Oryctolagus cuniculus: one gene and its partners. Each later gene encodes a partner of the first gene's protein in a complex. Links are inferred from orthologs where the notes say so. Each region holds a gene or a part of one and is shown in the gene's direction. Other genes may lie near its edges.

The links.
Region 2: BRD8 (region 1) and ING3 share a complex: the UniProt entries of both Homo sapiens proteins name them as parts of the SWR1-like complex. The link is inferred for Oryctolagus cuniculus from reciprocal best matches to the Homo sapiens genes BRD8 and ING3.
Region 3: BRD8 (region 1) and MBTD1 share a complex: the UniProt entries of both Homo sapiens proteins name them as parts of the nuA4 histone acetyltransferase complex. The link is inferred for Oryctolagus cuniculus from reciprocal best matches to the Homo sapiens genes BRD8 and MBTD1.
Region 4: BRD8 (region 1) and KAT5 share a complex: the UniProt entries of both Homo sapiens proteins name them as parts of the SWR1-like complex. The link is inferred for Oryctolagus cuniculus from reciprocal best matches to the Homo sapiens genes BRD8 and KAT5.
Region 5: BRD8 (region 1) and MORF4L2 share a complex: the UniProt entries of both Homo sapiens proteins name them as parts of the nuA4 histone acetyltransferase complex. The link is inferred for Oryctolagus cuniculus from reciprocal best matches to the Homo sapiens genes BRD8 and MORF4L2.
Region 6: BRD8 (region 1) and MEAF6 share a complex: the UniProt entries of both Homo sapiens proteins name them as parts of the nuA4 histone acetyltransferase complex. The link is inferred for Oryctolagus cuniculus from reciprocal best matches to the Homo sapiens genes BRD8 and MEAF6.
Region 7: BRD8 (region 1) and EPC1 share a complex: the UniProt entries of both Homo sapiens proteins name them as parts of the nuA4-related complex. The link is inferred for Oryctolagus cuniculus from reciprocal best matches to the Homo sapiens genes BRD8 and EPC1.

What each region holds. Positions count from the first base shown.
Region 1 is NC_091437.1:25,968,754-25,972,813, reverse strand, and holds part of BRD8 (bromodomain-containing protein 8), read left to right. Parts: intron 1-371; coding exon of another isoform or gene 372-431; exon of another isoform or gene 432-751; intron 752-3,051; coding exon 3,052-3,330; intron 3,331-4,060. UniProt on the Homo sapiens protein: May act as a coactivator during transcriptional activation by hormone-activated nuclear receptors (NR). Isoform 2 stimulates transcriptional activation by AR/DHTR, ESR1/NR3A1, RXRA/NR2B1 and THRB/ERBA2.
Region 2 is NC_091434.1:156,958,116-156,962,175, forward strand, and holds part of ING3 (inhibitor of growth protein 3), read left to right. Parts: intron 1-869; exon of another isoform or gene 870-1,373; coding exon 1,374-1,566; intron 1,567-4,060. UniProt on the Homo sapiens protein: Component of the NuA4 histone acetyltransferase (HAT) complex which is involved in transcriptional activation of select genes principally by acetylation of nucleosomal histones H4 and H2A.
Region 3 is NC_091448.1:27,007,708-27,011,767, reverse strand, and holds part of MBTD1 (MBT domain-containing protein 1), read left to right. Parts: intron 1-545; coding exon 546-680; intron 681-1,308; coding exon 1,309-1,397; intron 1,398-1,593; coding exon 1,594-1,828; intron 1,829-2,453; coding exon 2,454-2,509; intron 2,510-2,826; coding exon 2,827-2,931; intron 2,932-4,060. UniProt on the Homo sapiens protein: Chromatin reader component of the NuA4 histone acetyltransferase complex, a multiprotein complex involved in transcriptional activation of select genes principally by acetylation of nucleosomal histones H4 and H2A.
Region 4 is NC_091432.1:6,003,680-6,008,269, reverse strand, and holds the start of KAT5 (histone acetyltransferase KAT5), read left to right. Parts: upstream 1-1,566; 5' UTR 1,567-1,808; coding exon 1,809-1,820; coding exon of another isoform or gene 1,821-1,919; coding exon 1,920-1,986; intron 1,987-2,298; coding exon 2,299-2,367; intron 2,368-2,462; coding exon 2,463-2,599; intron 2,600-2,862; coding exon 2,863-3,018; intron 3,019-3,104; coding exon 3,105-3,179; intron 3,180-3,280; coding exon 3,281-3,355; intron 3,356-3,507; coding exon 3,508-3,756; intron 3,757-3,953; coding exon 3,954-4,043; intron 4,044-4,590. UniProt on the Homo sapiens protein: Catalytic subunit of the NuA4 histone acetyltransferase complex, a multiprotein complex involved in transcriptional activation of select genes principally by acetylation of nucleosomal histones H2A and H4.
Region 5 is NC_091453.1:89,765,877-89,770,591, forward strand, and holds the start of MORF4L2 (mortality factor 4-like protein 2), read left to right. Parts: upstream 1-1,786; 5' UTR 1,787-1,899; intron 1,900-2,983; 5' UTR 2,984-3,021; intron 3,022-4,715. UniProt on the Homo sapiens protein: Component of the NuA4 histone acetyltransferase complex which is involved in transcriptional activation of select genes principally by acetylation of nucleosomal histone H4 and H2A.
Region 6 is NC_091438.1:135,249,318-135,253,377, forward strand, and holds part of MEAF6 (chromatin modification-related protein MEAF6), read left to right. Parts: intron 1-1,664; coding exon 1,665-1,752; intron 1,753-1,873; coding exon 1,874-1,919; intron 1,920-4,060.
Region 7 is NC_091444.1:102,669,736-102,673,795, reverse strand, and holds part of EPC1 (enhancer of polycomb homolog 1), read left to right. Parts: intron 1-1,898; coding exon 1,899-2,017; intron 2,018-2,661; coding exon 2,662-2,803; intron 2,804-2,903; coding exon 2,904-3,267; intron 3,268-4,060. UniProt on the Homo sapiens protein: Component of the NuA4 histone acetyltransferase (HAT) complex, a multiprotein complex involved in transcriptional activation of select genes principally by acetylation of nucleosomal histones H4 and H2A.

The sequences.
Region 1 (4,060 bases):
AGCCCAGAACCTCACTATCCACCGCCCTTTTACTTTCCCACCTTTCTTTCAGTCTTCCTTTCCTTTACACATGATTTGGACCTGGGTGGGATGACTATTCATCACTCTGTGGGACCCCAGGTGAATTTCAAGGACTGTGTGGTGGGCAAGAGCAGGATACTGTCCTACATTTCTTCTTAAAAACTACCACGTGTTCTTTAGCCACTCTCTGGGAAGACAGAAATACACCCCTCATAACTCTGGATTTTTCTGCTGATTCTTTCCCTTTTACCCCCAAGAAATCAAATCCCCAACCTTGTTGTACTTTGTTAGCGGCTAACCAGCTCACTCATTTTCACTCATGCTCCATTTCTTTTTCTGTTGTCATGTAGGATGGAGGAACCAGGGGACGCCGCTGTGCCATTGAAGCAGATATGAAGATGAAAAAGTAAAGCCTGAAAGTATCCTCTTTGAGCTGACTCTGAAATAGAAGTAAACAAGATAAAGCTTGGGCTTGCAGGCCCAGTTCCAGAAGTGGAAGTTACAGAAGAGGAGTGCCTGGGCCACATGACATAAGCTGGGAAAATCTCTCTCAGAGAGTTGAAGTAGCACAATTGTCTGTTTTAGGGCAAAAATCATGGGCTGTGTTAATGTCCTAATGTGTAGCTAACAGATTGTAGCTAGTTTGTACTGTCTGTGAAGTGTACAGATTTTTTTAAAATAAACCTGTGAAGTGTATGTGTATACAATAAATGTAAAAGAAAAAATGCTAGCCTTTGGTGTGTGCTTTTTGTGTGTATATTTGAAAATTTTGTTTCTTCCTACATTATTTGTGAAAATATTATTAGAGGATAAAGTGACTTTATAATGTGAATTGCCTACTTAATTGAGAGACGGTGAGTAAACAGGATTGAATTTATAATTACTGTTTTGAGATATTGTTCAACAATAACTTAGTTATTCAGCTTTTGAATGAGAAAACAAGTTTTTTAGAGTTGAATTCATAGCACTTTTAAAAGAAGATTCAAGCATGCTACATGGGTAGCATTAACCTTTCTTTCAGGAAAATTTGTCCTACTTCAGACTATCTGTAGATCATACCTTTTTTTTTATTTTTATTTTTTAGGGGCTTATCTGTGTCTTAAGAGCCCCTGATTTATTTTTTATTTTTTATTTTTTTATTTTTTTTTTTTGACAGGCAGAGTGAACAGTGAGAGAGAGAGACAGAGAGAAAGGTCTTCCTTTGCCATTGGTTCACCCTCCAATGGCCGCCGCGGCTGGCGCACTGCGCTGATCCGATGGCAGGAGCCAGGTGCTTCTGGTCTCCCATGGGGTGCAGGGCCCAAGCACTTGGGCCATCCTCCACTGCACTCCCTGTGGGTAGGGCTCTTGTGAATAGAATTCTTTATATTGCTGTTGGAAGGCTAATCTCAGTTTAAGAATTAACAAATTTAGGCACTGAGTTCTATTCCAATTTTTGTTAACAACAAAAACTTTAGCTCATTAGTGATAATGAACTAATTATGAGCCTTTTTATTGTATAGAGATATTAATGGGGTGTTATCTAGACTCTGCATTGTTGAGAAAGTTTTAAGAAGATCATGATAATATTTTTTGGCCTTCAAAAGGAATTACAGCAGTTGTCAGGAAGTAGGAAATAATAGTCCTATTGTGGTGATGGAAAGAAATCAACCCAACAGTTAGAAAATGAAGTACCTATAATATTCGGTTGCCAAAGCTATCCACAAACAGGCATGTGATAAAAACACTGAAGCAATAAAAATTGCAGGTTTGTGGGGAAAGTCCATTAAAGGACATAGGTATTGCTTTAGAAAAGGGATGGATGTGCTTTGCAAGATGAGTTAATAGTGTTGCACATCCATGGTAGGAGCAATGAGATAAGAGAACAGTGATCATACTAAGGAATAGTGAGATATAACACCAGTCAAGAGGATAAAGTAGGACTAATTATGGAGGACTTTTAGTGGTAGACTAAGAACATGTTTGAGATGAAAGCTGTTCTTAAGCCTTGACACTTGGCAGAGAGCAGGTTGAAGTAAAGATTGTTTAACTCTTAAGGAGCCTGACATTTCCCCAGAAACAAAGGATGATGACAGAAAATTGTGAAAAAATTGCTGACTTTAAGAATAATTTTGAGTTGCGTAGACTAAGAAAATAGTGTTGGTGATAGGGATAAAGAAATTGAGAGCAAATTAGGAAGAATATTGATTTTAGTTATAAAAATGCTGAGTTGAAGCAGATAGTAGGATTTCAAAAGAGAATTTGCTTTCAGATGCGTGGAGAAATGAGATCAGAATGTATAAAAGGTTGAGAGATTTGATAGAGTACAAAGTTGAAACAGTATGCATATATGTGTACATTGTGTGTATACACAATGACAAGAAACAGGAAATCATCTTCATAGAGGTCAAAGTTGAAACTTAAAAAATGCTTTATTTTTTAGAGGAAGTGTTAAGGAAGCTGGACTATGCAAGGAAATAGAAGACCAAAGTTTATTGAAAGTCAAAAGGGATTGGAGAAAGTTGTAAGAGAATCAGAATAGGGTAGTTAAGAAAGCAAGGGAAGGTATTTTTGAAACTTGAGGATCTCGTTTTGAGAAGTGATAGTGGATTTGACGATAAGGATGCCAAAGGTAATATCAAAGTGTATTTTCAGTATGTAATGGTAAACAGCTTAAAAAAACAAGGAAAGTATCCCGTGTTCCTTTTAAGTTTATTGCCTTGCAACTGAGTTTATGGGTGATTGGGGGATAGAGGAAGTCTGTTAAGCTAGCTATGCTCTAGCTCTTTCCCTTTTGGAGTATAAGGAAATAATAGTTATTGGGTAATACATTGTACTGCACTGTACAGTATAACATCTTTATTTTATTAAAATGGGACTTCTTTATTCCTAAAGATCATGTCATCTCCCAGCATTTTTCTTCTGCTATGTTTTATACTTCTTGATGAGACATTTCTGATATTTATCTTTCTACTGAACTTAGGAGATTGAGGTCCCTGGGAATATGAATTGGAATGATTTTAATGCTCTTTTTTTTCTGTGTATTTACAGATGGGGCATGAGTGGGTTTGGTTGGATTCTGTACAAGACTATCCCAGTGACTCTGAGTTGAGCAACTACTACAGGTCCCTCTTCAGCTCATGGGACTCCAGTCTGGATCTTGATGTGGGCAGCTGGAGGGAAACTGAGGATCCAGGGGCTGAGGAACTAGAAGAAAGCAGCCCAAGGAGAGAACCTAGTGAGCTGCTTGCAGGGGATGAAGGCAGTGAGGAATCTCAGAGAGAGGCAGAGCAAGTGAACCGCCAGAACCTCCTCCACTTTCTTTCTGAGGTAATGGTGAGCTGCTACTTCCAAAGCTGGGAGAACCTCCACTTTCTAAGAGAATGTTTACCCTCACATGTTTCTAATGCTCTTAATATTGTTTACTAAAATAGGAGACTCACATTGACAGAAATGATTTAATATTGTATCCCTGGCACTTGGTGCTGATACAGAGTATGCACCAAGTGCATTCTTTAAAAATATATTTATTTATTTATTTGAAACGCAAAATGACAGGAAGGGAGAGAGAGATCTTCCATCCACTGGTCCACTCATGTTCTCAACAGCCAGGTCTGAGCCAGGCAGAAGCCTGGAACCAGGAACTCCATTCAGGTCCGACATGGGTGACAAGAGTCCAAATACTTAGGCCACCTGCTGCTGCTTTCCTCCATATGCATTAGCAGGAAAATGGATTGGAAGTAGGGCAGCTAGAACTTGAATCAGCACTCCAGTGTGGGATGCTGACATTGCAAGTGGCAGCTGAAACTGCTGTGCCATAGGGTAAGCTCCCAAATTTTTGACATTGTTTCAAGATTCCAGTCATTAGGGGCCTGATTCCCACCCAGAACTGGAATTTCTGAGTGTAAGATTGCCTTGAGAGTGTCTGAAAGATTAATCTTGTATAAACTCTCCTTGAGTTTTTTTTTTTTTTTTTCTTTAAAGATTATTTTCAAAGGCACAGTGATGGAGAGACAGGCAGATCTTCCATCCACTGGTTCACTCCACAAATGGCCGCAAT
Region 2 (4,060 bases), on another chromosome or scaffold:
AGTGTGCACGTGACTGCACCTGCTGTACCTTTGCTGGGTGCTCAGGCCACTTGGCATCCCTGCTGGGCTTCCTCATATGAGGGTACTTCACAGACTTCATGGAAAAATGGTATTAAAAGATGTGTTTATTTTGATGCCAAACAGTTTTGGAATTTAACACTCTTGGTTCCCTGTCCTATCCACAGTAAGTATTCACATGTTGCTTGATAGTCATAGTTTTCATTTACTACTTTTGTGTATTTGTATTCTTTATGTTTTGATGAATCATATTCAGTCTGCTTAAAAATACAGAGAATATCTGTAAGGTAGCCATAACTAATATTAATTCTTAAAAGTACTGCCTATAATATAAGTCAACAGTAAGTGGTAACTTTGATTTTAATTATTTTAAAATCTTTGATTTCTTTTTAAAAGGATTTTTTGGAGTACTTTTTTTTCCCAAAAAAAAAACCAAAAAATTCTGAGTAAAACTAAACCATTATAAAAGTTATTTTTTGGGGCCGGTGCCACAGCTCGCTTGGCTAATCCTCTGCCTGCGGCGCCAGCACCCCGAGTTCTAGACCCAGTTGGGGTGCCATATTCTGTCCCGGTTGCTCCTCTTCTAGTCCAGCTCTCTGCTTTGGCCTGGGAAGGCAGTGGAGGATGGCCCATGTGCTTGGGCCCTGCATCCACATGGGAGACCAGGAGGAAGCACCTGGCTCCTGGCTTCAGATTGGCGCAGAGGCCATTTGGTGGGTGAACCAATGGAAAAGGAAAGCCTTTCTCTCTGTCTCTCTCTCTCACTGTCTAACTCTGCCTGTCAAAAAAAAAAAAAAAAAAAAAAAAAGTGGCCGGTGCCCTGGCTCACTAGGCTAATTTTCCACCTGCAGCGCCAGCACCCCGAGTTCTATTCCTGGTTGGGGCGCCGGATTCTGTCCCGGTTGCTCCTCTTCCAGTCCAGCTCTCTGCAGTGGAGGATGACCCAAGTCCTTGGACCCTGCACCCGCATGGGAGACCAGGAGAGGCACCAGGCTCCTGGCTTCGGATCAGCGCTGTGTGCCGGCCGCAGCGCACCGACTGCAGCAGCCATTGTGGGGGGTGAACCAAAAGAAAAGGAAGACCTTTCTCTCTCTCTCTCTCTCTCACTGTGCACTCTGCCTGTCAAAAATAAATAAATAAATATAGTTTACAAAAGTGTTATTTTTTGTTGCTCTAAGTAAGTGTGCTTTTAAATCAGATGACTTTAGCTTAATGTTAGACATACATTCGTACATTGATGCCATTTCTTTTGATACCACTTATTTAGGAGTTATTCTCAGGTAATTGATGATGATGATGATGATGATGATGATGATAATGATGATGGGCAAATAAGACTGGTAATACTTTTTCAGGAACAACAACAAGTCTTCAAGCCAGCAGTCCTCCTCGTCTTCCTCCTCTTCTTCCTTGTCATCGTGTTCTTCGTCATCAACTGTTGTACAAGAAATCTCTCAACAAACAACGGTAGTGCCAGAGTCTGATTCAAACAGTCAGGTTGATTGGACTTATGACCCAAATGAACCTCGATACTGCATTTGTAATCAGGTAAGAGTCTGATCCGTGTCTATGGAAGCATAATCTAAATGAATTAGAAAGATGTGTCTCTTTTTTTATTTTTTAAGATTTATTTCCTTATTTGATGGAGTAACAGAGAGGGGGAGAGAGAGAGGTCAAACTTTCATCTGCTGGTTCACTCCCCAGATGGTTGTAATGGCCAGAGCTGGGCAAGACTGAGCCAGGATCCAGAAGCTTCATCTAAGTCTCTCAAATGGGTGACAGGGGCCCAAACACTTGGGCCATCTTCCATGCTTTTCTCAGGCCATTAGCAGGGAGCTGGGTCAGAAGTGAAGCTGCCAGGACACAAACTGGGGCCAGTATGGGGCGCTGGCATAGCAGATGGCTTTACCCACTGTGCCACAGCACCAGCCCTGGAAGTGTTTCATTTTTTAAGCACTCTTTTTACTCTAGTTAAAAGTTACCCTTGCTTTAATTGATATATTTTTATCCCCCTTATAAAAGTCAGAAGTTTGCTAAAAATAAGAGGATAGTCCTTAGATATAACCTGAAATTAAATATTTCGGTGTACCACTACCAGACACCAGTTATATGTATTAGCTGGTGACTGGAAAGTCCAAGGTCAAAGGTGCCAGCTCATTTGGTTCCTGGTGAGGACTCCCGTCCTAGTCTGCAGACAGTGGCCTTCCACTGTGGACTCATTGCAGAAAGAGGGAGTGAGCTCTAATGTCTTTTGATACGGCACCTTCCCTATCAGATTAGAACCCCACCTTATGACCTTCACCACCTCTTCACAGGTATTGTCTGCAAATACATATTGGGATTTAGGGCTTCAAATGAATTTTGGGGGGACACAAACATTGCTTCTATAACACATATGTACATATACACACATGTCGTATAGTGAGTTTAACAGTAGGAACCACAATGACTTTTTTAGTACCTGGCTTTTTTAACTAAATCAGGTAATCAAACAAAATTTTTCTTTAAGGTCATTTTTGAAATCTCATGATTATCGCTTATATCATGTACTGTAATTTATTGAAGCAATATCTAGCTATAGATCATTTTAGTGATTTTGATTTGTTTTTGAATTTGTAAATAACATTATGATAGACATTTTTATTTTTAAATGTAATTCATTTTATACAATTGAATTCAAGGATAATCCATTAGAAATAAAATTGAGTTATAAATATCTAATACAGACAAAATATATTCTAGTAATTTATTACTGGAAACTAATCAGCATGCCTATTTTCTAAACTCTTTGCAACACTATTTAGATATTCTGTTAAAAACTTATTTGTCTCATACATTTATGTCACATAATTTATGTTAGTATTTTTTATTTATTTATTTTTTAAAAATTTTTGACAGGCAGAGTGGACAGTGAGAGAGACAGAGAGAAAGGTCTTCCTTTTTGTCGTTGTTTCACTCTCCAATGGCCGCTGCAGCCGGCACACCGTGCTGATCTGAAGGCAGGAGCCAGGTGCTTATTCTGGTCTCCCATGGGGTGCAGGGCCCAAGCACTTGGGCCATCCTCCACTGCACTCCCGGGCCATAGCAGAGGGCTGGCCTGGAAGAGGGGCAACCGGGACAGAATCCGGCGCCCTGACCGGGACTAGAACCCGGTGTGCCGGCGCCGCAAGGCAGAGGGTTAGCCTATTGAGCCGCGGCGCCAGCCGAAGTATTAAGATTATACTTCTGTTGACATTTTTAATGAGTTGATTGCTAATGGTGTTGACTTATTTTTCTATTGTTTTTATTAGATAATTTATTAATATTTTGCTTTTGTTTTGTTTTTTTAATTTTAATATTTCAGTTTTATTTAATTATGGCTATCATTCTTTTTCTTTAGAAGTCACCCATTAATGAGATGTTTAGAAAGCCTTCCTCTCCTGTTACCTTGTCCTCTGATACATTTTTTTCATTTTCTTTTGTTTGTATAGTTTTGTCTAGTTCTTGATAGGCTCAGTTTATTCACATTTAAACTTTAAATCTAATGACAATTTATTATGTTTTATGATGTAGCTAAAAAAAAATGGTCTTTCATCCACTGATTCACTCTCCAAATGGCTGTAACGACTAGAGAGGCTAAAACTACTACACCACAGCACCAGCCACTAAAAAAAAAAAAAAAAAAATTAAGTTTTCTAGCTCTTCCACTATTACCTGACAAACCTTTTTGTTAGTATCTATAATTAAGGAAAGAGTATCTTGTAAATACCCTAGCAATAAAAGTACGTTACCTACAAAAGAACAAAATCAAAATGACTCCTGGTTTGTCTTTTGTACCAGTAGAAAGCTAAAAGGTGATAGAGTATGTCTAGGACTTTTAGGGAAAAATTGAGAGCACCCAAAACTTGGTATGCAGAGAAGTTGTTCCCATGCGTAGGACGGGTAAAGATATTCTCACTCGTGCTGCGAGTCAGAAAGTGTGCCATCTGCTGAACCCTGTCTGAAAATTATGCAGTCCATGGAGAACTAACATGAATTCAAGATTTAGGAAGTGGTGCTAAAA
Region 3 (4,060 bases), on another chromosome or scaffold:
ACATTCATATTATCCAAGAGTTAATGGCCACCTAGTTAGCTAGATAAAGTCATTTCTTTGACATATACTACACCTGGATTTCTATGACTTCACAAGGTTTTACTAACTTGTCACAGTCTTCTCTGTTATTATCAGAACTAAACATTAGAGAACCATTCTACCCTGTTTTCACTGAGGAATTTCTTTCTAGAATTTGAGAAATTATGAGTAAAATTGAAATCCATTCAGAGGAGGAAGCCACACTCAGTACAGTTAAACAAATTACATCTAATAAATGATTCTCAAAGTGTAGTCTCTGGACCACCACCACCACCAGCAGCAGCAGCATCCGTCATCTGGGCACATGTTAGCAATGCAGATTCTTAGGCCCGTCCACAGTCTACTAAGCCAGAATATCTAGGACAGGCCACAGCCATCTGTCTTTTTTTTAACTCTGCTGGTCATTCTATTGCAGATGCCAATGAAAGTTGGACTCCACTACCAGATGCTACATAATTTTATTTCAACTTTATTTTCTTAATTATGTAATAATTTGTTGGTTTCAGGTTATAATGCGCTTTTAAGATATGAAGGATTTGAAAATGACTCGGGTCTGGACTTCTGGTGCAATATATGTGGTTCTGATATACATCCAGTTGGTTGGTGTGCGGCCAGTGGAAAACCTCTTGTTCCCCCTAGAAGTAAGTAACTTTGGAAAATGACCCTAGGGGCAAGTGTTTGGCCCAGTGGCTAAACCAGCACTTGGGATGCCTACATCCCATATCAGAGTTCCTGGACTTGAGCCCCAGGTCTGTTCCCAACTCCAGTTTTCTGCTGTGGACCATGGGAGGCAGGTTGTGATGGCTCAGATGATTGAGTGCCTGCTACCCATGTGAGAAATGTAGACTGAGTTCCCAGCTCCTGGCTTAGGCCTAGCACAGCCCTAGCCATTGCAGGCTTTTGAGAAGTAAACCAGCAGCTGGGAAATCAGTCTGTCTCCCTCCATTTCTTCCCTCTCCCTCTGTCTCTCTGCCTTTCAAATAAATAAATAAATAAAAATTTTTAAACGCAAAATTAACCTTACTATAATTTTAAATATATGTACTTAAAGACTATTTCACACACAGTAATACTAAGTATTAAAATATTTTTGATTGTCAGGGACTTTACCACTAAATGATATTCTTGTTTTCTCTTTTTTTTTTTTTTTTTTTTTTGTTACTTTTCAAGATCCTAACTGATAATCTTACTTGCAGAGAAATAACAAATAATTTATGAATCAGTTCTACTTTTTGCTAAAGTGTAAACTAGTTATTTCTTTTGTTTTAGCTATTCAACATAAGTATACAAACTGGAAAGCTTTTCTAGTGAAAAGACTGACTGGTGCCAAAACCCTTCCTCCTGACTTCTCACAAAAGGTAAAAATAGGATCTGATAAAGGACTGAAGAGCTCTCAAAAAGAGGGTAATTTAGAGCATGTCTAAGGATTTCCTCATCAACTGGATGATCTACATTAAATATCGAGTACATTCAGCATTTTTAAAGTACAGTATTAAACTACTTGTGGGCCTTTGTCATGAGTTCCAAACAGGTGTTGTCTGCTTTTGTTTCAAGGTTTCAGAGAGTATGCAATATCCTTTCAAACCTTGCATGAGAGTAGAAGTGGTTGACAAGAGGCATTTGTGTCGAACGCGAGTGGCAGTAGTGGAAAGTGTAATTGGCGGAAGATTAAGGCTTGTGTATGAAGAGAGTGAAGACAGAACAGATGACTTCTGGTGCCACATGCACAGCCCATTGATCCATCATATCGGTTGGTCTCGAAGCATAGGCCATCGATTCAAAAGATCTGGTAAGCATCTATTACAAGAATTTCCTATTTAAGGATCATTGAGGCTGAATTATGCTGTTTGACTATTTTTCTCTGCAGAATAGCATAGATTAAAAGCAGCATTCTAGCTGTTTGAGCTGTTTGTTCAACTTTAATTATTGAAAGGTTCGCTCCATGTTAATGTCCTATTTCCTTTACATTCCTTCCACTTGTTCTCATTCAAAAAAAGTAATGTGCTGTGGTCCAAGGCTGTGATGGTCTCCATAATCTTTCTTATCTGGCCTTTTAGAAAGATCTAAAGATGGCCTTTCCCTTTCCATTCAAGTTTGTAATCAAAATAACAGGATTAGATGTGGTTAGACTTGATACTAAACACATTAAAACATACCTCTAAAGTTGTAATTCCCTAACTGTTGGGATTATCAGCATTCTGATTGGCTGAAATGTATTTCCTAGCATATGCACATGTAGCCTGAAGAGATAAAAGACTATTAAAGAATCTTATTCACCATAAATGTAGAAGGCTTGTCTTTTTGCCATGTTTTTAGAGTATTACATACCTTGTGAGTTTGAAGCCTTCAAAGAAACGTGGTTTTTTGGTCTTCTCACAAATGCTGACAGATTAGTATGTAACTTTTCCTTGTAGATATTACAAAGAAACAGGATGGACATTTTGATACACCACCACATTTATTTGCTAAGGTAAGAAGTTTTTATAAGAACCCTCATTTGTAAATTAGTTTTGAAAGAGGGTTGTGGGTTTTTTCCTAAAATTTTGGAAATCACTTGTGTTCACTTAAAAGGATTAAGACCTTATAATCCATAGGTGTCACACTTTTATTCTAATTATTCTTAAAATCTGTCTGTGTGTCTGAAGTTTATTTCCTAATGAAAAATTTGAATTAGAATACTAGGTAGGTAGGAGAAGGCATCTGGTAAACCTTTTCAAATTTTTTGCATTGTAATCATTAAAATGACAATGTTTATAATAGTAGATGTGCTTTCATATGATTCTTTAGGTAAAAGAAGTAGACCTGAGTGGGGAATGGTTCAAAGAAGGAATGAAATTGGAAGCTATAGACCCATTAAATCTTTCTACAATATGTGTTGCGACCATTAGAAAGGTAAGAGAGTAGGACTCACAGTACAGAAATACAGTAGAAGGCGGCCTCTGCCATATTCATTTAGACATTGTATGTGTGTATCTGGATGTTGACTGAGGAGAGAGATACTAGTCATTTCAACATAAATTTGTGTTCTCTTATCAGGTCACCTTTTTTTTTGTTTGTTTTTTAATGTGGTTTGCTGTCAAGATTGTCATTTTGAATCTGCTACTACTTTATTTGTGAAACTATATCCTAGCTGAGTTAGAAGAATATTTATCAAAGTTACTTTCTGGTCAGACTCATTCAACACAGCCCAAGAAGGCGAAGTTTATGTTCAGTTTTCTTTTTGTACTCTTTCTCTTCTTGATAGTACTTTATTCTCTCTTTTCCCTCTCACCTGGAACTATTTGTATGGATCTAGAAGAAAGATTCTTATTTCTCAGTACGCATCAGAATTCCCTGGGAAACTTAAAACTTAAGACAGGTGCACCCTCACATTCCCCTGTTAGGATTAAATAGGTTCGGGTTGAGTCCCTGGCATTGGCATTTTTAAAGGCCCAGGGTGATTCTTTTGTACAGCTGTGGTTAAGAACCACTGATCCAGCCGGCGCTGCGGCTCACTTGGCTAATCCTCCGCCTGCAGCGCCGGCACCCTGGGTTCTAGTCCCGGTTGGGGCACCAGATTCTGTCCTGGTTGCTCCTCTTCCAGTCCAGCTCTCTGCTGTGGCCCTGGGAAGGCAGTGGAGGATGGCCCAAGTACTTGAGCCCTGCACCCACATGGGAGACCAGGAGGAAGCACCTGGCTCCTGGCTTCGGATCAGCGCAGCGCACTGGCCGTAGCGGCCATTTGGAGGGTGAACAAATGGAAGGAAGACCTTTCTCTCTGTCTCTCTCTCTCACTGTCTAACTCTGCCTGTCAAAAAAAGAACCACTGATCCAGAATCTATTATTTGAAGTTATAACTTAAATTATGATTTCCATTTAAAGTCTAAAACTAAGCCAAAAGAGTTAAAAACAATTATAGCAGCTGAGTATCCCAAATACCTGTGTTCAAGGTCATATAGCTGAACAAGACTGGGTCCATACCCTGTTCTTCCTCTTTACCTTACTAGTGATAACAGCCACCTATAAAATTTAAAACATGGGA
Region 4 (4,590 bases), on another chromosome or scaffold:
ATAGCGGATGAAGCCGCCGCCTGCAGTGCCAGCAGCCCATGTGGGTGCCGATTCAGTCCTGGTTGTTCCACTTCCAGTCCAGCTCTCTGCTGTGGCCTGGGAAAGCAGTAGAAGGTGGCCCAAGTCCTTGGGCCCCTGCACCCACGTGGGAGACCTGGAAGAAGCTCCTGGCTCCTGCTTCAGACTGGCCCAGCGCTGGCCATTGTGGCCAATTAAGGAGTGAACCAGCGGATGGAAGACTCTCTCTCTGCCTCTGTAACCTTCAAATAAATAAATCTTTAAAAACATCCTTTATGGGCAATGAAATTTAAACTTCAAACAACTTCTCCTGTTAAGAAATACTGTTTTGTCCCCCCAACCGCTTTAACACATCAACAGCACGGGTGCTGGTCAAGGGCGCAGTCCAGACACCATGCTCGGCCCCAGCCCCCGCAGCCAGGGGGCCCCAAGGCCCAGCCGCGCTGTCAGCGCCGCGCGTCCCCATGGGAGCCGCTGCCCCTGCTTCCCGGCCTGCCCGGCGGAGTTCCAACAGGACCTGCTCGCGAACACGTGGCCCTCCCTCGTCTCCAGACCTCTTCCTCTCTCTCTTCCTTCTTAGCAGCTTCACAAAGACCAAGGCGGGGTGTAGTAAAACGGCGCCGTCTTCCTAAGCCCAGCCCGGCTCAGCCGAGCGCGGGCTTCCCAAGGCCCAGCCGCAGGGTCAGCTCCAGCCCACGCTGAGGGGCCTGGCCGGCCACGTCCTCCCTCCGCACGGCCCCGGAGGACCCGTTCGCCACAGGCCGCTGCTCTGCGCGCCAGGGCCCCCCCCACAGTAACCCTGCCCCTCACTCCGGCGTCTGGTGTTCTGTGGGGGCCCACGGGCCGCGGGACACGCCAGGCCCACACCCGTCTGCCTGTCCACCAGACACGGGCCAGCGCGTGCAGCGCGGCGCGGCTGCCCCCGCGGGACGGCCTGTGCGTCTGGAACTTTCTCTGGGTCCCTTCAAGCCTTCTTTCCAATAGTTAAGCTTTCAGCCAGCGCTGCCCGGCTACTCCAGCCCGACCGCCCGCGCCTGACCACCCTGCTCGGGTTTTCGGGGTTCCCCAACACTTAGCCCTGAAACAGAGGCAACCGCGGCCATTAACCCTCCCCTCCCCGCAACTTCCAGGAACGCGAGCTCCGCCAGGGGAGGGGTCTGTCCGCTCGCCCCCACGCGCTCCAGGGCCGGCAGTGGAGCCCGGCACACGGCGGGAACTCACCGCACGTCTACAGGCCGCAAAAATAACGCACACACCGGTTCTCAACCAGGAACTCGGGGTACGAGGTTAGACACCCGCGCCCCCGCGCCTCGAACTCGGCCCCGCAGCCGTCCCGCTACTCCCGCCCACTTGTCCAACTTGGCCACGCCCACCGCCCGCCCTCAGGCCCGCCCCGCGCCCAGCACGCGCACCCGGCGCCGGGCGACGCCTCCCGCCGCCACTAGGAGACTCCCGAACGCGGCCGCCCGTCCGAGCCCAAACACTAGTCCCACGTGACCCGCGCCGCAGCCACGTGACCGGCGTCGCACCCGGTGGGCGTCACGTGACGGACTCAGTTTTCCTCCAATCGCGGCGCACGTTGTGGAGGTTCCACCCAAGACCTGGCCCGAGGCTCCGAGCACCCCATTTTCGCGCCGGCCAAAAGGGCTAGCTCCCCGCTTCCAGCCGGGCGGCGGTGTCCCTCAAGGGTCCTTTACTAAACAGGCTCAGAGGGCCCGGGTCTGCAGCGTTCGCGATCCCGGAAGTGACGTCTCCCAGAGGGGCCGGAAGTGGCAGTAGAGGGAGGGAAGATGGCGGAGGTGGTGAGTCCGGTGCCCGGGGCGGGGCGGAGGGAACCAGGGGAGGTGGGTAGAGCCCGCGGCCCCACAGTAGCCGACCCTGGCGCCGCGCTGTCTCCCCAGGGGGAGATAATCGAGGGCTGCCGCCTACCTGTGCTGCGGCGGAACCAGGACAACGAAGATGAGTGGCGTGAGTGACGTCGGGGGGCGGGGCTAAGAAATACGAGGCGGGAGGGAGTCAGCCGAATGGGGCGGGGCTTCTAGAATGCTGGTGCGGGCGGGGCGCTGGCGCTCCAAAGGAGGGGCGTGGCTTCTAGCCGTTCCGACCTGGACAGGGCGGGGCCTGGAGAGTGGGTTGCACTTGGTGTCTGAAGGGGGCTTGGGCGCGAGCTGCGCAGTGCTGGGGCGCGGGGATCCGGCCGAGGGGTGGGGCTCGGGTCCTAGGAGGGTGGCGTCTCGGGGCCCTGCCCGTCTAAGGCCTCTGCCTGTGCCGTTCCCATAGCCCTGGCCGAGATCCTGAGCGTGAAGGACATTAGTGGCCGGAAGCTCTTCTACGTCCATTACATTGACTGTGAGTCCTGGGCCTGGCTGAGGTGGGGCTGCGGGGCGGGCGCGGGGCGGGGGCAGCCTCTGGCATTCCGTCCTGAGCCATGCCCACCGCTGCAGTCAACAAACGCCTGGATGAATGGGTGACCCACGAGCGGCTGGACCTAAAGAAAATCCAGTTCCCCAAGAAAGAGGCCAAGACCCCGACCAAGAACGGACTGCCTGGGTCCCGCCCCGGATCTCCCGAGAGAGAGGTGGTGAGTAGGGCCCCACTCCACCTCTCCTGCCTCCTACTCTTCTCGTCTCTCGGCCTTAGGGGGCTCCTGGCTGGGCAGGAGGCAGCACCCCCCGCCCCGACTCCAGCTTGCAAAGCATGGGGCCAGGTTGCAGATGTAGCTTCCGGTCCAGTGGCCAGTCCTTGAGAAGGCAGCGGGCGGGGCTCAGTCACTCCACGCCGAGGGGGCCCCTCGTCCCCTGCGCCTCCCCACCCCAGAGGAAGACCCTGGACCTATCTCTGCAGCCGGCCTCCGCCCAGGCCAGCGGGAAGACCTTGCCAATCCCGGTCCAGATCACGCTCCGCTTCAACCTGCCCAAGGAGCGGGAGGCCATTCCCGGTGGTGAGCCCGACCCGCCGCTGTCCTCCAGCTCCTGCCTGCAGCCCGGCCACCGCTCCACGGTACCCTCAGCACTTCAGGGACCTTCTTTCCTCTCAGGTCCCCCTTCCCTACCTTCTCACCCACCGGCCTCGGTTTCCCTCTGCAGAAACGGAAGGTGGAGGTGGTGTCGCCAGCGACTCCCGTGCCCAGCGAGACGGCCCCGGCCTCCGTGTTCCCCCAGGTAGGCCCGAGCCGTCTCGTCTCACTGCCCTGCCTGCCCTGCCCCCGCCGGCGTCTCCGGCTCAGCTCACAGCCCCCCGCATTCCCGCCGTCTCTTCACAGAATGGGTCAGCCCGTAGGGCGGTGGCAGCGCAGCCAGGGCGGAAGCGGAAGTCAAACTGCTTGGGCACGGACGAGGTGGGTCTGGGGGCTGGGTGGGGAGGGGCCGTGAGGCGGGTGGGCGGGGGCTGGGCCTGGTCTCTGAGAAGTGGGGTCACAGCAGCTGCCCCGGGGTCGCAGACGGGCGGCGCGTGGCTCCTGTAACGTGCCGTCTCCCCCGGCCCCGGCAGGACTCCCAGGACAGCTCCGATGGCATCCCGTCGGCTCCGCGCATGACTGGCAGCCTGGTGTCCGACCGGAGCCACGACGACATCGTCACTCGGATGAAGAACATCGAGTGCATCGAGCTGGGCCGGCACCGCCTCAAGCCGTGGTACTTCTCCCCGTACCCGCAGGAGCTCACCGCGCTGCCGGTCCTCTACCTGTGCGAGTTCTGCCTCAAGTACGGCCGCAGCCTCAAGTGCCTGCAGCGCCACCTGGTAGGCGGAGCCCAGGAGCGCCCGCCCTGCGCCCCAGAGTCCAGGAGCACCCGCCCCGCCCCCCAAAGTCCAGGAGCGCCCGCCCCTGCGCCCCCCAGAGTCCAGGAGCACCCGCCCCGCCCCCCAGAGTCCAGGAGCGCCCCCGCGCCCCCCCGGAGTCCAGGAGCGCCCGCCCCTGACCCTCCTCTCCTCCTCAGACCAAGTGCGACCTACGCCACCCCCCTGGCAACGAGATCTACCGCAAGGGCACCATCTCCTTCTTCGAGATCGACGGGCGCAAGAACAAGGTCAGTGGCCGCGGGCAGCGGGCGGCTGCTGCTTGCTCGGGGGCACACTGGCCTGCCCAGCCGGCAGCTTGTTCAGCCCGTGGTGTTAAGAAAGGTTTGTTTATTTGAAAAGCAAAGTTAGAGCGTGGCATCCGCTGGTTCACGCCCCAAATGACCACGAGGCCGGGGCTGGGCCAGGAGCCTGGGGCTCCATCCGGGTCCCCGCACGGGTGCAGGGGCCCGAGCGCTTGAACCATCTTGCGCTGCTTTCCCGGGCCACAGCAGGGAGCTGGGGTGGAAGCAGAGCAGCCGGGTGTTGCAGGAGACGGCTTAACCCGCCGTGCCAAGGCCAGCCCCGTGATCGGCCTTGACCTCCGCCGTAGGTGGGCTCTGGCAGGGCACGGCAGACAGAGCTCCTGAGAACTCGGGTTCTGTGAGGGCAGGGGAGGCGGGGAGGGGACCCAGGAGTGGAGTGGGGCTCAGAGGGACAGAGGAGGGGGGAGGCGGCAGGAACGCAGGGACGGGAGCAGGCTCAGCTGGGAGATAAGGCTAACTTGAGACTGGAGCG
Region 5 (4,715 bases), on another chromosome or scaffold:
TACTTTCAAGGCAACAAGCATCCTTATTTATATTTTTCTTTTTCAAAGCCTTGAAGTGGTGTATCATCCTCAGAGCAAAGCTTTCAGGTAAGAAAACCGTGTATCCATGCAAGGGGTGAGGAAATGAGGCTGGGAGAGGTTAATGGACTCATCCAAGTCTCACAACAAAAGCAAAACCCAGGTTTCCTATTTCTCAGTACAATGACTTATCTATTAGGCAAAGAATCTCAAAAATCATCTTCAAGGAGTCCTAGGCTTTTAAGGGAAGAAAAAAACAGGTAGCAACACACACACACACACACACACACACTCATTTCAGTAAGAGTAACTCCACTTTCACCTTATATATTCACATCACCATAATATTTTATTTGGGGTAGGGAGGGGGAGCAAGGGAAGAGCTTATTGCTGCTTTAAAAAAATTTGAGAAATGAAACTACCATCAGGGCTGGCATTATGGTGCAGCAGGTAAAGCCACCATCTACAGTGCTGGCATCTCATATGAGTACTGGTTCAAGTCCTGGCTGCTCCACTTCCAATCCAGCTCCCTGCTAATGCACACAGGAGGGCAACAGAGGATGTCCCAAGACTTTGGGCCCCTGTACCCATGTGGGAGGCCTGAAGGAAGCTCCTGGCTCCTGGCTTCAGCCTGGCTCAGCACTGACAGTGGCAGCCATCTAGGGAGTGAACCAGCAGATGCAAGATCTCTCTCTGCCTCTCCCTCTCTGTCTGTAAGCCCTTCTGCCTTTCAAATAAATAAATAAATCTTTAACAACAACAACAACAACAACAAAACTCTATACCATCTGTAACTGTCACAGGTAAGCCATTTAACCAGTCAAGGGATGTTACAAGTGTATTATTCGGCTAGTATTCTAAGAGGACCTTGCTGTTTGAGAACAGACTAAACTGAAGGACAGCCATGACAAAGGAATATAATAATTGGATATCATGTCTAGGTCTAAGACCCTCTTCAAATTATCAACCTACAGAAACACGAAATACTTGTCACCCTACCTCTCCTTACACTTACTATCAATGCCTGGCTGAGGCCTCTAGGCTTATCAGTTCTCAGTTTAATGCTAAAGACAGTCCTGACCATCAAAGGACAAGAATGCTTGGGACCACTGGTCACAGCAACACATTTGGTATCTTGACTGCATTTAACTTTCAACACTAATTCTTCTATATAGAAATAAAGAGGTGGCCCTTTGGCTGGTGCCGTGGCTCAACAGGCTAATTCTCCGCCTAGCGGCACCGGCACACCAGGTTCTAGTCCCGGTCGGGGCGCTGGATTCTGTCCCGGTTGCCCCTCTTCCAGGTCAGCTCTCTGCTATTGCCCGGGAGCGCAGTGGAGGATGGCCCAAGTGCTTGGGCCCTGCACCCCATGGGAGACCAGGAGAAGCACCTGGCTCCTGCCTTCGGATCAGTGTGCTGCGCCAGCCGCAGCACGCTGGCCGTGGCAGCCACTGGAGGGTCAACCAACAGCAAAGGAAGACCTTTCTCTCTGTCTCTCTCTCTCTCCACTCTGCTTGTCAAAAAAAAAAAAAAAAAAAAGGTGGTCCTTTTAGAAACCTAATGAATCATGGGATTTCCCATAAGGTAAGTGGGTCAGCAGGTCACAATGTCCCAGAATTCCAGAACCTGGCATAACAGAGCTGGGAGGGCCTTCCCAGATCATTTCAGTCTTGTCGCTTCATCAGACAACATGGGGTATTGAGGGTCCGAATGGGCAAAGCCCAGACCCTACTTGTAACCTCCTTTTTCCATTAACTCATTTGTAGCTGTGAAAGGAAAAATAGAATAGAAAGGGCAAGACTAGAGAGACTAGAGTATTATCACTTATTAGCTCCAGAGGCTCACTTCTTCGACTTCCTGAACTGAGACTCAAGGCTAAAGGTAATCTTCATCAGAGGAAACTGTTCCTATAATGACTATTCAGTCCTGAACCTCTTCCTTGTCTGTCTTTTGACTGATACCCAGGTTCAATTATCATAGTCCCCATAGGAAGGGGATAGCCAAATCTTGGCAGCAGGATCATATTACAAAAATAAAATGGTCATGCCAAGCTCCACATCCTATAAATTTAGGGTTTCCTCCACTAGAGTTTCTTTGTGAATTCCTTAGACTTATACTTCCTTTAGCCCTAGCTGGTATCATCATTTCATTGACCTAAGCTGCAGGTTGGTTCTTTCAGAAAGAAGAAAATGCGGTTTCTCATTAATTATCATTTTTTCTATATTTATAATTAATTATATCTTATAATTATAATCCACTATTCTAATGAAATGTACTACACTGATTTTGGAGTTCAACCTTTCCTATCCTATTTCATTAAGATTTCAAATTCCAGGTATATAACCCTCTTCATCCAGGGCCCTCAAGAGACAAGAACAACAGATTATGGAAATGAATCCATTATCTTCTTTCTGCTACTTATGTAACCTCTCTAATATCTTAGTGGTGGATTCATGTTTAGGGTAAATGATTAAAGAGAGAGAGGAAAGGTAAAAACAAATTGCTATAGCTTTAAGATGTCACTGATTCCATCCGGATGGTATTCCTCAAGCAAGAAATATCCAGTGAGGACTGCAGCTACAAAATTGTCTCCATTTCCTCCCTTTGTCTTTCTGTGGGGTACGGGTGGGTGCACACTGCCTCTATGACATCTTCCAACCAAATGAACAATTTTACATGTGGACATAAGCACATTTGGCCATAATGTCAAAATTCTGGTTTGAAGAACCAATAAGCAAATTTCTTCTGTTTTTAGAGGAGGGGTTGGGGAGGGGAAGAATCAGGAAGGGAGAGTACATGAGTCCACAAGATAATGAGAAGGCTAGGGTTTGGGGAAAGCTAAGGTTAGAACTATCTGGGTTTTGCTTGATTATTCATTTTGCTTTGTGTTTTCAGAAGTCAGTGTTCTCTCATGAGTTCTTCCTCTCAAAATTGAAAACTTTTAATGTTTTCCCTTCGCATATAGGTGGAGGACCAGTCCTTGAGACCAGCTTTCACCTGCAGGTGCGTCATCTCCCTTGGATTCATTCACAAATTATGGTGGAGTAGCTACCACAATAGGAACTGTGCTAAACACACAGTATACACAGTTAAGAAGAAACTTAGCACTTAGCCTCATAGATCTTGTATTCTAGCAGGGAAGACAGACTTGGACTAAGTTCCTGGATGATAGTGAGATGGAGAAAACGGGGTGGGGGGGTGTTGTGGAAATACGTAAGAGGGACACTGACCTACTCGTGGCCCAAGTTGGGGAGGGAATGTCTAGAAAGGCTTCCCTGAGGCAGACACATTTCAGATGTGACCTGAAAGAAAAGGAAGAAGCAAAGCAGCAGGAAGGACCAAGGAGACAAAGGAGAAGGAAAGTGCGAAGTGTAACAGAGCTTTGAAGAGGGAAGTGGTATAAAAGATTCTCATCTGAAAAAAAAAATCTGACCGCAGTGTGGAGAACAGATTGTAGGGAAACCACAGTAGGTCAGCAGGTGAAAACAGTGGTGTCTTGCAAGGAGGCGTGTCACAGGTGCTGAGGGAACAGAAAGCAAAAGCACTTAACTAGAGGCTGGGCATCAGGGAAGGGCTCCGTAAGGAAGTAACATTCCAAGTGAGACTTGCAGGCTGGGTTCGCCATGGTGAGGGAAGTGAGGGAGTGAGGAGTGAAGAGAGGCCCGGACACTAACCTTCTCCTTTAACCAAAGCAGGTCTCATTTTCACTAAGGACCTCGTCCTGGTCTGGAATGCCTGGTACCTTTTCTTCCTAGCCAAACAGTGCCTATGTTTCTACAGCCCTCCCCAGTGCCAGGTCCACTGATGACACCCCAATACGACTTACTGTTCCTGCTTATAAATTTCTATTCCATACGTATTGCTAAGCATTAAAGATCTACTATTCAGGGTAGTTACTTAACTTCACACAGATTCACATGTAAGCTACTTGGATTTGCAAACTCTTTTCTATTACTTTAGCATCATCCAGGGTATCTAGCACAATGAGGGACTGTGTGACACAGTCATTGAATGAATGAATGAATGAATGAGGCACTAGAGTCTCTGCAGACCTCCTTTAGATATTCACTATTATCCGTGAAGCTAATAGGAAAGGGATGTACTTTGTGTAAAAGATTCCTACAACTTGCATGCGAAGACCTGAGATCTGAAATTGACTATTCCTTCCCACTGGTCACTGCTTCTCACCCCCTTGCAATCCTGGTCCCCACCCCGCCCCCCCAACCTTCTATTGTTTCTTCTGTCTTCTGGTTGTCAGCCAGGATGAGAAAATGGTCAAGCTGTCCTCAGAGACTTACGCCAGCCTGGGCTGCTCTGCAGTGCCATGAAGGGCCAGGACTTTTGTTTACAGCTGGGAGCATGGCGAGGCGGTGAGCACAGCTGACAGCCCCACTCTGGGGCAAACATCAATCTTCCTCTGTCCTCTCAGCCAAGTCTCACAGACCAGCTTTATTGAAAGCTGGCTGCACCCGCCTGGGCTCACTGATGTCCCACCCACAACTCGAGCCTGGGAGTAGCTGGGTGAATCTCAGCTTTGTACCTTTTAGGAACTGCCCTTGCTCTCCTCTCTGTCCCTGTTTGCAAATCGGCTTATCTCAACCTCTGGGCCTCGAAAGAGCATGTTCTGAGGACCTCTTGCCCTAAACAGTGCCCCTCCTCTCCAACCATATCTGCTATCTCCCAACAATGTACCAAAG
Region 6 (4,060 bases), on another chromosome or scaffold:
GCCCTTTTTGTATGACCCTCATTAGTCTTGGAGCAGTTTGCTGCTTTCTGGCCCCCAAATTATTCCAGGCTCGACTTATCCTTTTCTTGACTTAAAGCTGGTATCCACCATTTCTCTAAGGAGCTCTGGATCCTTTATCTGTGTATTTATTTATGTTTAGATTTACTTATCTGGAAGGTTGAGTTACAGAGAGGAAGAGAGAGAGGGAGCTCTTTTGTCTATTGTTTCATTCTCCAAACGGCTGCAACAGCCAGGGCTGTGAAGCCAGGAGCCAGGAGCCAGGAGCCAGGAACTCCATCCAGGTTTCCCAAGTGGATGGTAGGGGTCCATTCATTTGGGCTATCTTCCACTGCTTTCCCAGGTACAGTATCAGGGAACTGGATCAGAAGTGGAGCAGCAAGGACTTGCTGGCTTTGGAAGCTGCAGCTTAACCTGCTGTGCCACAATGCTGGCCCCTAGTTCTGTCCTCCCCTCCCCTCCCCTCCCCTCCCCTCCCCTCCCCTCCCCTCCCCTCCCCTCCCCTCCCCTCCCCTCCCCTTCCCTTCCCTTTCCTTTTTCTCTCTTTCTTTCTCTCTTTCTTTCTCTCTCTCCTTCCTTCCTTCCTTCCTTCCTTCCTTCCTTCCTTCCTTCCACACAGAGAGAGTAGAGGCAGAGAGAAACAGAGAGAGAGAGGTCCTCCATCCGATGGCTGACTCCCCAAATGGCCGCAATGGCCGGAGCTGTGCTGATCTGAAGCCAGGAACCAGGAGCTTCTTCTGGGTCTCCCATGTGGGTGCAGGGGCCCAAGAACTTGGGCCATCTTTTGCTGCTTTCCCGGGCCATCGTAGAGAGCTGGACAGGAAGTGGAGCAGCCGGGTCTCGAACCGGCGCGCATACGGCATGCCAGCACTTCAGGCCAGGGCGTTAACCCCTGGCCTCTAGTTCGTTCATTCGTTTGTTCGTTCGTTCTTTCTTTCTTTCTTTCTTTTTTTTTTTTTTTTTTTTTTTTTTTATTTGACAGGTAGAGTTATAGACAGTGAGAGGGAGAGACAGAGAGAAAGGTCTTTCTTCCGTTGATTCACTCCTGAAATGGCCGCTACAGCTGGCGCTGCGCCGATCCGAAGCCAGGAGCCAGGTGCTTCTCCTGGTCTCCCATGCGGGTGCAGGACCCAAGCACTTGGGCCATCCTCCCTCTGCCCTCCCGGGCCACAGCAGAGAGCTGGACCAGAAGAGGAGCAACCGGGACTAGAACGCGGCGCCCATATGGGATGCTAGCACCACAGGTGGAGGATTAACCAAGTGAGCCACGGCGCCGGCCCCCTAGTTCTTTCTTTAAATTTCAAACTTAAACTTATGTAACTGAGATACTTCCTATTACTAGTCTCTGTTGGTTATTTTTAGTAGTAAGCATTAAAATCAATCCATATGCAAGTGTTTGTGAGGCAACTGTAACACTAGTGTCTTCCTGGGTGGGCGCAGCCCAGCCCAGCCCTGGGAAACGTGGCTGGCTGTGTCGTGTGAGCGTGGGCCATCCGCCAGTAGTCCAGGTGACCTGGAGCTTTTCTGGGTGGAACTTGATTAAATAGAAGCAAAGCTCTCTGTGCATTTGCCCTGGGGCATCCCTAGCCTGAGCCATAATCATAGACAGCTTGGTGCTTATAATGAAATCCTTCTGTGTGTTGTAGAAACTCCAATAGCAAAAATGATCGAAGGAACCGGAAGTTTAAGGAAGCCGAGCGGCTCTTCAGTAAATCCTCGGTGACGTCGGCAGCTGTAAGTGGAGGCCGGCTGTTGTGGGGCGGCCGCCTTCTCTCTCCCTTCCTTCCCTGTCCCTCCTGAGTGCCCTCCTGAGGCCTGTGGTCACTTTTCTAGTAACTGGTGGCTTCTCTTTCAGGCAGTGAGTGCGTTGGCAGGAGTTCAGGACCAGCTCATTGAAAAGAGTAAGTTTATTTTTTGACTGTGTTCATCAGTGTGTTTTTAAGCTTCCATGGCCCCTGATTTTGGTTCACCTCCCACTGTGATCTAAGGACTGCATCTCCTGTGCTCTCCCTCCTTCTAGAAGCTGGGAAGCTTTTGGGTATCCTGAATCATTTTTGCTTTTGAGGAAGAAACCACTGTGTCTTCCTGCCTCTTCGGTCACGTTCAGGTCGGTTTAGCAGCTCAAAGTTATGTCTCTGCTCCTGGCAAGTCTTTTATATTTCTGAGGGAACTTTTTTCCTAGCAATAAGAGGAAAACTTTTATGGAGCATTTCACACACACCTAATAAATCCGGATGTACCCAGCGGAGGGGGGAGTTCTGATCCTGTAAACAGAGTGTATCTGCGTGCTGTTGAGTGTAAGATGGAGAGTAGGCGCTGTGCACGTGGTGAGCAGTGATGATGTTTCCGTGTGTGGCTGTGCAGCCTGATTCTGTTTGCTTGCCAGTGATGGGACAGAGATCTGTACATTGGTCTTTCCGAGTCAGACTCTGTAAAGCTCTGCTGGTGTTATCCCGGGTTGCCTGTTTTTGAGACACAGCCTCCTTTTTAGTATTGTGCCTGTGTGCTTCCTCCAGATGGTGTATTTTGTGGGATCCAGTTTTTTTGCAATGGGGCACTAGTTTGAGGAAAAGGAATCTTAGTAGTTTGGGAGTTAGAACTACACAGTGACTTCAGTTATGGTCTCTGTATACAGATTTCTAAAATTGTTGCTCTGCCCCTAACCTCTTTGTTTTCTTCTAGACATTTCTACTCAGATGTTCCAATGCAAACATTTTGTCTAAAATAAACATTGTATTTCCTTTAAAATTCATGTGCCCAGTTTTTGGTTCCATTCTTCCTCCATTACAACGTTAGAGTCATTTTTGATACCTTTTTGCCAGCCTAGTCAGTTGTACTGAGTCCTTTTGATTTTCCTTTACGGTGACTCTTATGCTCAGTTAGTGCCACTTCTAGAATGCAGAGCTGCGTCATCTCCCCGGGTTGAGCCACACCCTTGGAACGCATCATGTCAGTATTCCTTGGTTGTTGCTGAGTTGTACTGAGTGTAGAAGGTGGCCTGTATGTTAGTAATAGCGGGCTACAGGCCTCTGTGTCAGCACTAGTTATCATCCCCTTTTGGAACAGTTTTTTTATGCAACTTGTTTGATTTTTTTATTGAAATCTTTTTCTTTTAAATATTTATTTATTTGAAAGTCAGAGTTAGAGGGAGAGACAGAGAGAAAGAGGTCTTCCATCTGCTGATTCACTCCCCAAATGGCCACGATGGCTGGAACTGGGCTGATCCGAGGCCAGGAGCCAGGAGCTTCTTCTAGATCTCCCTTGTGGGTGCAGGGGCCCAAGGACTTGGGCCATCTTCTGCTTTCCCAGGTGATAGCAGAGAGCTGGATTGGGAGAGGAGCAGCCGGGACTAGATCCATCGCCCAAGTGGGATGCCAGCGCTGCAGGCGGGGGATTAACCCTACTGCGCCACAGCTCCGGCCCCATCCCTCGGCAGTTTCTTAATCACTATGCCACACACCTGCCCTTCTAGCTATTTTGAAAAATACAATATATTATTGTTCATTAAAGTCACCCTACTGTTCAGTAGAACACTAGAATTTATTCCTGCCATCTGTCACTTTGTATGCGTTGTCACAGCTCTTCCTATCTCCCTTCCTTTCCTCGCCTTTGGTAACCACAGTTCTACTTTCTATTCCTGAGATTAACTTTTTAGATTCTACAAATGAGTGAGACTCATGTAGTGTATATTTGTTTTGTGCCTGGCTTATGTAACATTTCACTTAACATAATGTTGGGTTCATCACTATTGCTGAAAATGAGTTTCATTCTATTTAATGGCTGAATAGTATTTCACTGGACTATTTTTTTTTAAAGATTTATTTATTTGAAAGGCAACAGAGAGAGAGGAGAGATCTCCCTTTTGTTGGTTTACTCCCCAAATGCCAGCGGCTAGACTGAAGCCAGGAGCCGGGAACTTCATCTGGGTGTCCTATGTGGGTGGCAGGATCGCAAGTACTTGAGCCATCTGCTGCTTGCTTTCTTTCTTTTAAGATTTATTTATTTATTTGAAAGAGTTACACAGAAGGAGAAGGAGAGGCAG
Region 7 (4,060 bases), on another chromosome or scaffold:
CAGCAGAGTTCAACAACAAAAAGTGCTTTCATTATAAAAAGTTTTCTATAAAAGCTTGTCAATGAATGTAAATGTACTATCTTTCTAAATACGTGATGACCCAACCTTCCAAAAATGATCCATTTTTTAAAACTTGCTGACCATTCCTATTAGAAAATCAAGTGTGAGGCAACAGACTCAAAATTAGGAAATGAAAAAGTCTAAATCAGAAATAGATTGGCAGAAGTATCTAATGAAATAAGGATCTTCAGGTTTAAAGAGTTGGCTTTTTTAAAATATAGGGGTAAATATTAGTTACGAACATTCAGGACAGCATTAATTCTTGTGGATTTTCAAGCTTTGATATAACACATTTCTGCTATGTGGAAATGGTTATGTGGCTAGACAGCTACTTTTATATCAATATTTAGGAATCATCATATGAATAAAACTCTTCTCTGTGAATCTCACATCTGTGAATTGCAAACAAAGTAGGAAAAGGAATTTATCAAAGGCCAGACACCAGCTAAATACATTCGTAACACACACACACACACACACACACAACAAGAAAACCAGCAGTAAAGGCTTTCTAATAAGTTGCTTTTTTGCCCTTGCAGCCCTAGAACTTAGTTTAGCTCAAGTATAGGAATCTGTGCAGGCACTAAGAACTTAAGAGTTTTTCTTGAATATTAATGATTTTTTGATACATTCAGACCATGGTGGAATTTGTAACAAAAATTTGCTAGTTATATCAAGAAAAGGCGTTCTGAGGGACAGTGAAAGATTTCTTTGGTGAGTTAACAAATGCAAATCACATAGCTTGATGACGTGATACTCTTAATAACTAAGCAGTAAGCAATAGCAATAAACTAGCTGACAGTATTTTGAAAACTTAAACTTTAGATTGAGGAAATTTGCATGATTATAGATTCCCTGGGATCCAGGGATGCATGATAAACTTTTTTGGTTTAAAATAATTCTTACTCAAACATCATAGGCTTCTTAAAGAAGCCTTCCTAATCCATTTGTATTGTGATTGTATGTGCTTTTTTTTTTCCTTTTTTTTTTTAATTGGCAAAAAAGAAAAGAAAAAGGTTTCCTTTTTAAAAACTGCACACACTTTTTTGGGGGGTAATAAATGAACATTTTTTTGTTTGTTTTTTTTAGAACTGAGCTCTCCATAGACAAACATAAGTAGCATAACACAGTGTCTTTCCTCAGACATCATTCTGTACAGTAAATCAACATAAACAACTCCGTTCTTATTGACTGGATTTTTTCCAGGTGGGTTAATTGGGTGGGGAAAATTAATTAAACTTAACATTGGAACCTCTTTTCTTCCTGCTAAACTTAAAGGATGAATTCTTTAAAAAGAAAGTAATAAACCAACAACCTTCTCTTTCATATAGAGGAAATTTTTGTAAATGACTAAAATGAGAAAATAAGTAGAACAGTTAGTGTTTATACACAAAACTGTTAGGGCCCACCTGAATGAATTGAGAAGGTAATATGGATAAAATGGAAACCAGCTGGCAATTAACAGATTTCTTCAAGCTCAGTGCAAAGTTGAATTCCAAATCTGTGGATTAAAAAGCTGATATTACCTTCTACATTGTCCAGTACAAGTGTCACAGCTTTGCAAAACTAATGGTGTCAATACTTGGGAAGTGAGCAGTTCTCTTTCCTGTGTTTAAGAGAGTCTAATTTTCTATAAATTCAAGCCACTCGTGTTAAATGTGGTAGCAGAAGTGCTGGCATTTTCATTTGGGCAGCGATCATTAGCAGGATGATGAACCTTTGTCAGAGGCTTTAATTTTGCACACACAAAAAATGTTAATGCTGCCTTTGTTTTGGTATCATAAGAGGTGTATGATATTTGTGCATTTGTATAAAACGTTTCCTCATTTTATGTTCAGCATTTACAGCCGAACAATACCAGCAACATCAACAGCAACTGGCACTAATGCAGAAACAGCAGCTTGCACAGATTCAGCAACAGCAAGCAAATAGTAATTCCTCCACCAACACATCACAGGTGAGGGGTTTGTCTGTCTTATGATTAGCCCTCATTGTTGCCCACCAGAGTTCACCTCTAGTTACCAACTGTTGTCATAGAACCTTGCACCTAACCAGCAGAAAAGTGGCTTTCGCCTGAATATACAGGGTTTAGAAAGAACTTCACAGGTGAGTATGGAAGCTGTCGCCTCTGCTCCCTACTTGTAAAAGTAAAATAAAACATGAAGTGAAATGAGATGGAGACACTGTGTTCAAATCATAATTTCTCCATCCAGTGCATTAGCTTATCTAACCTTCCCAGAGGTGCCTTTGGGTGTGTGTGTGTGTGTTGAAAGAAGTGACACACTCCTTTATATGTATTTGCAACGCTCTGAACTAGTTGACTAGCACATTTCTGGTCCAGCATTTTGTGATGGAGCTTTACTATTTCCCCTTATAAAGGCTTATTTGGTGATGGTTGTATACAGATTATTTGTTGAATAACGTTTGAGTTAAAGATTAGTTTTTCATTCCTGAAATGTATCACTATCAAAAGAGATGAAGAGATCTTAGTGGTTTGCCATTTTCATTTATAGTCAAGCTGACTGTGTTGCACCTGCATGTCGTTAATGCCAGCCTGAGGCTAAGCGATGCTGATTGATCGCCCATACGTTCTCTGTTCAGGGTTTTGTTTCCAAGACTTTGGATTCTGCTAGTGCTCAGTTTGCTGCTTCTGCTTTGGTGACATCAGAACAGCTGATGGGGTTCAAGATGAAGGATGATGTGGTGCTCGGAATTGGGGTGAACGGCGTCCTTCCAGCCTCAGGTAGGACGGGCACGTCCGAGTGGTCTTGGTTCTGTGTGTAGCGTGCATCTGTAATACAGCGAACGTGAATGTGGCTTAGATGCTTTCTTTTTCTCTCCAGGAGTATACAAGGGCTTACACCTCAGTAGTACGACACCAACAGCACTTGTGCATACCAGTCCATCGACAGCAGGCTCGACCTTGTTACAGCCTTCCAATAGTACACAGACTTCAAGTTCCCACAGTGCACTGAGTCATCAAGTAACTGCTGCCAATTCTGCGACAACTCAGGTTCTGATTGGGAACAACATTCGATTAACTGTACCTTCATCAGTTGCCACTGTAAACTCTATTGCCCCAATAAACGCACGACACATACCTAGGACTTTAAGTGCTGTTCCGTCATCTGCCTTAAAGCTGGCTGCCGCAGCAAACTGTCAAGTTTCCAAGGTTCCGTCTTCATCCTCTGTAGATCCAGTTCCAAGGTGAGTAGGTACTTTAAGGCTAAAGTGTTTGAAAGGTATGAGGGGTGGGCACTGTGGGCCAGCAGGTTAAGCCACTGCTTGGGACACCTGCATCCCACGTCAGAGCTGGTTCTCATCCCAGGAGCTCCACCTCAGATCCAGCTTCCTGCTTATGTGCCTGGGAAGGCAGCAGATGCTGGCCCAAGGACTCAGGTCCCTGCTACTCATGTGGAACACCCAGATGGAGTTCCAGATTCCTGGCTTTGGCCTGGCTTGGCCCTGGCTTATTAGGGGCATTTTGGGAGTGAAACAGCAAATGGGGCCAATGCTGCAGCTCACTAGGCTAATCCTCCTCCTGCAGCGCCGGCACACCGGGTTCTGGTCCCGGTTGGGCGCCAGATTCTGTCCCAGTTGCTCTTCCAGGCCAGCTCTCTGCTGTGGCCCGGGAGGGCAGTGGAGGATGGCCCAGGTCCTTGGGCCCTGCACCTGCATGGGAGACCAGGGGGAAGCACCTGGCTCCTGGCTTCAGATCGGCACAACGCGCCGGCCATGGAGGCCTTTTAGGGGGTGAACCAACGGAAAAGGAGGACCTTTCTCTCTGACTCTCTCTCTCTGTCAAAAAATAAATAAAAAATAAAAACAACCAGCAAATGGAAGACCTGTCTCTTGCTCTCTCCAAGTAAATCTTTTAAAAAACATGGAAAATGAGATCTGACTTTAATCCTCTGTCATTGTTTTCTGTTCGTCAGTTTTTATTAAAGTTACGAAAATGTTTTCCATTCCTATACAAATGCGTGTCACAGTTCAGTACAAC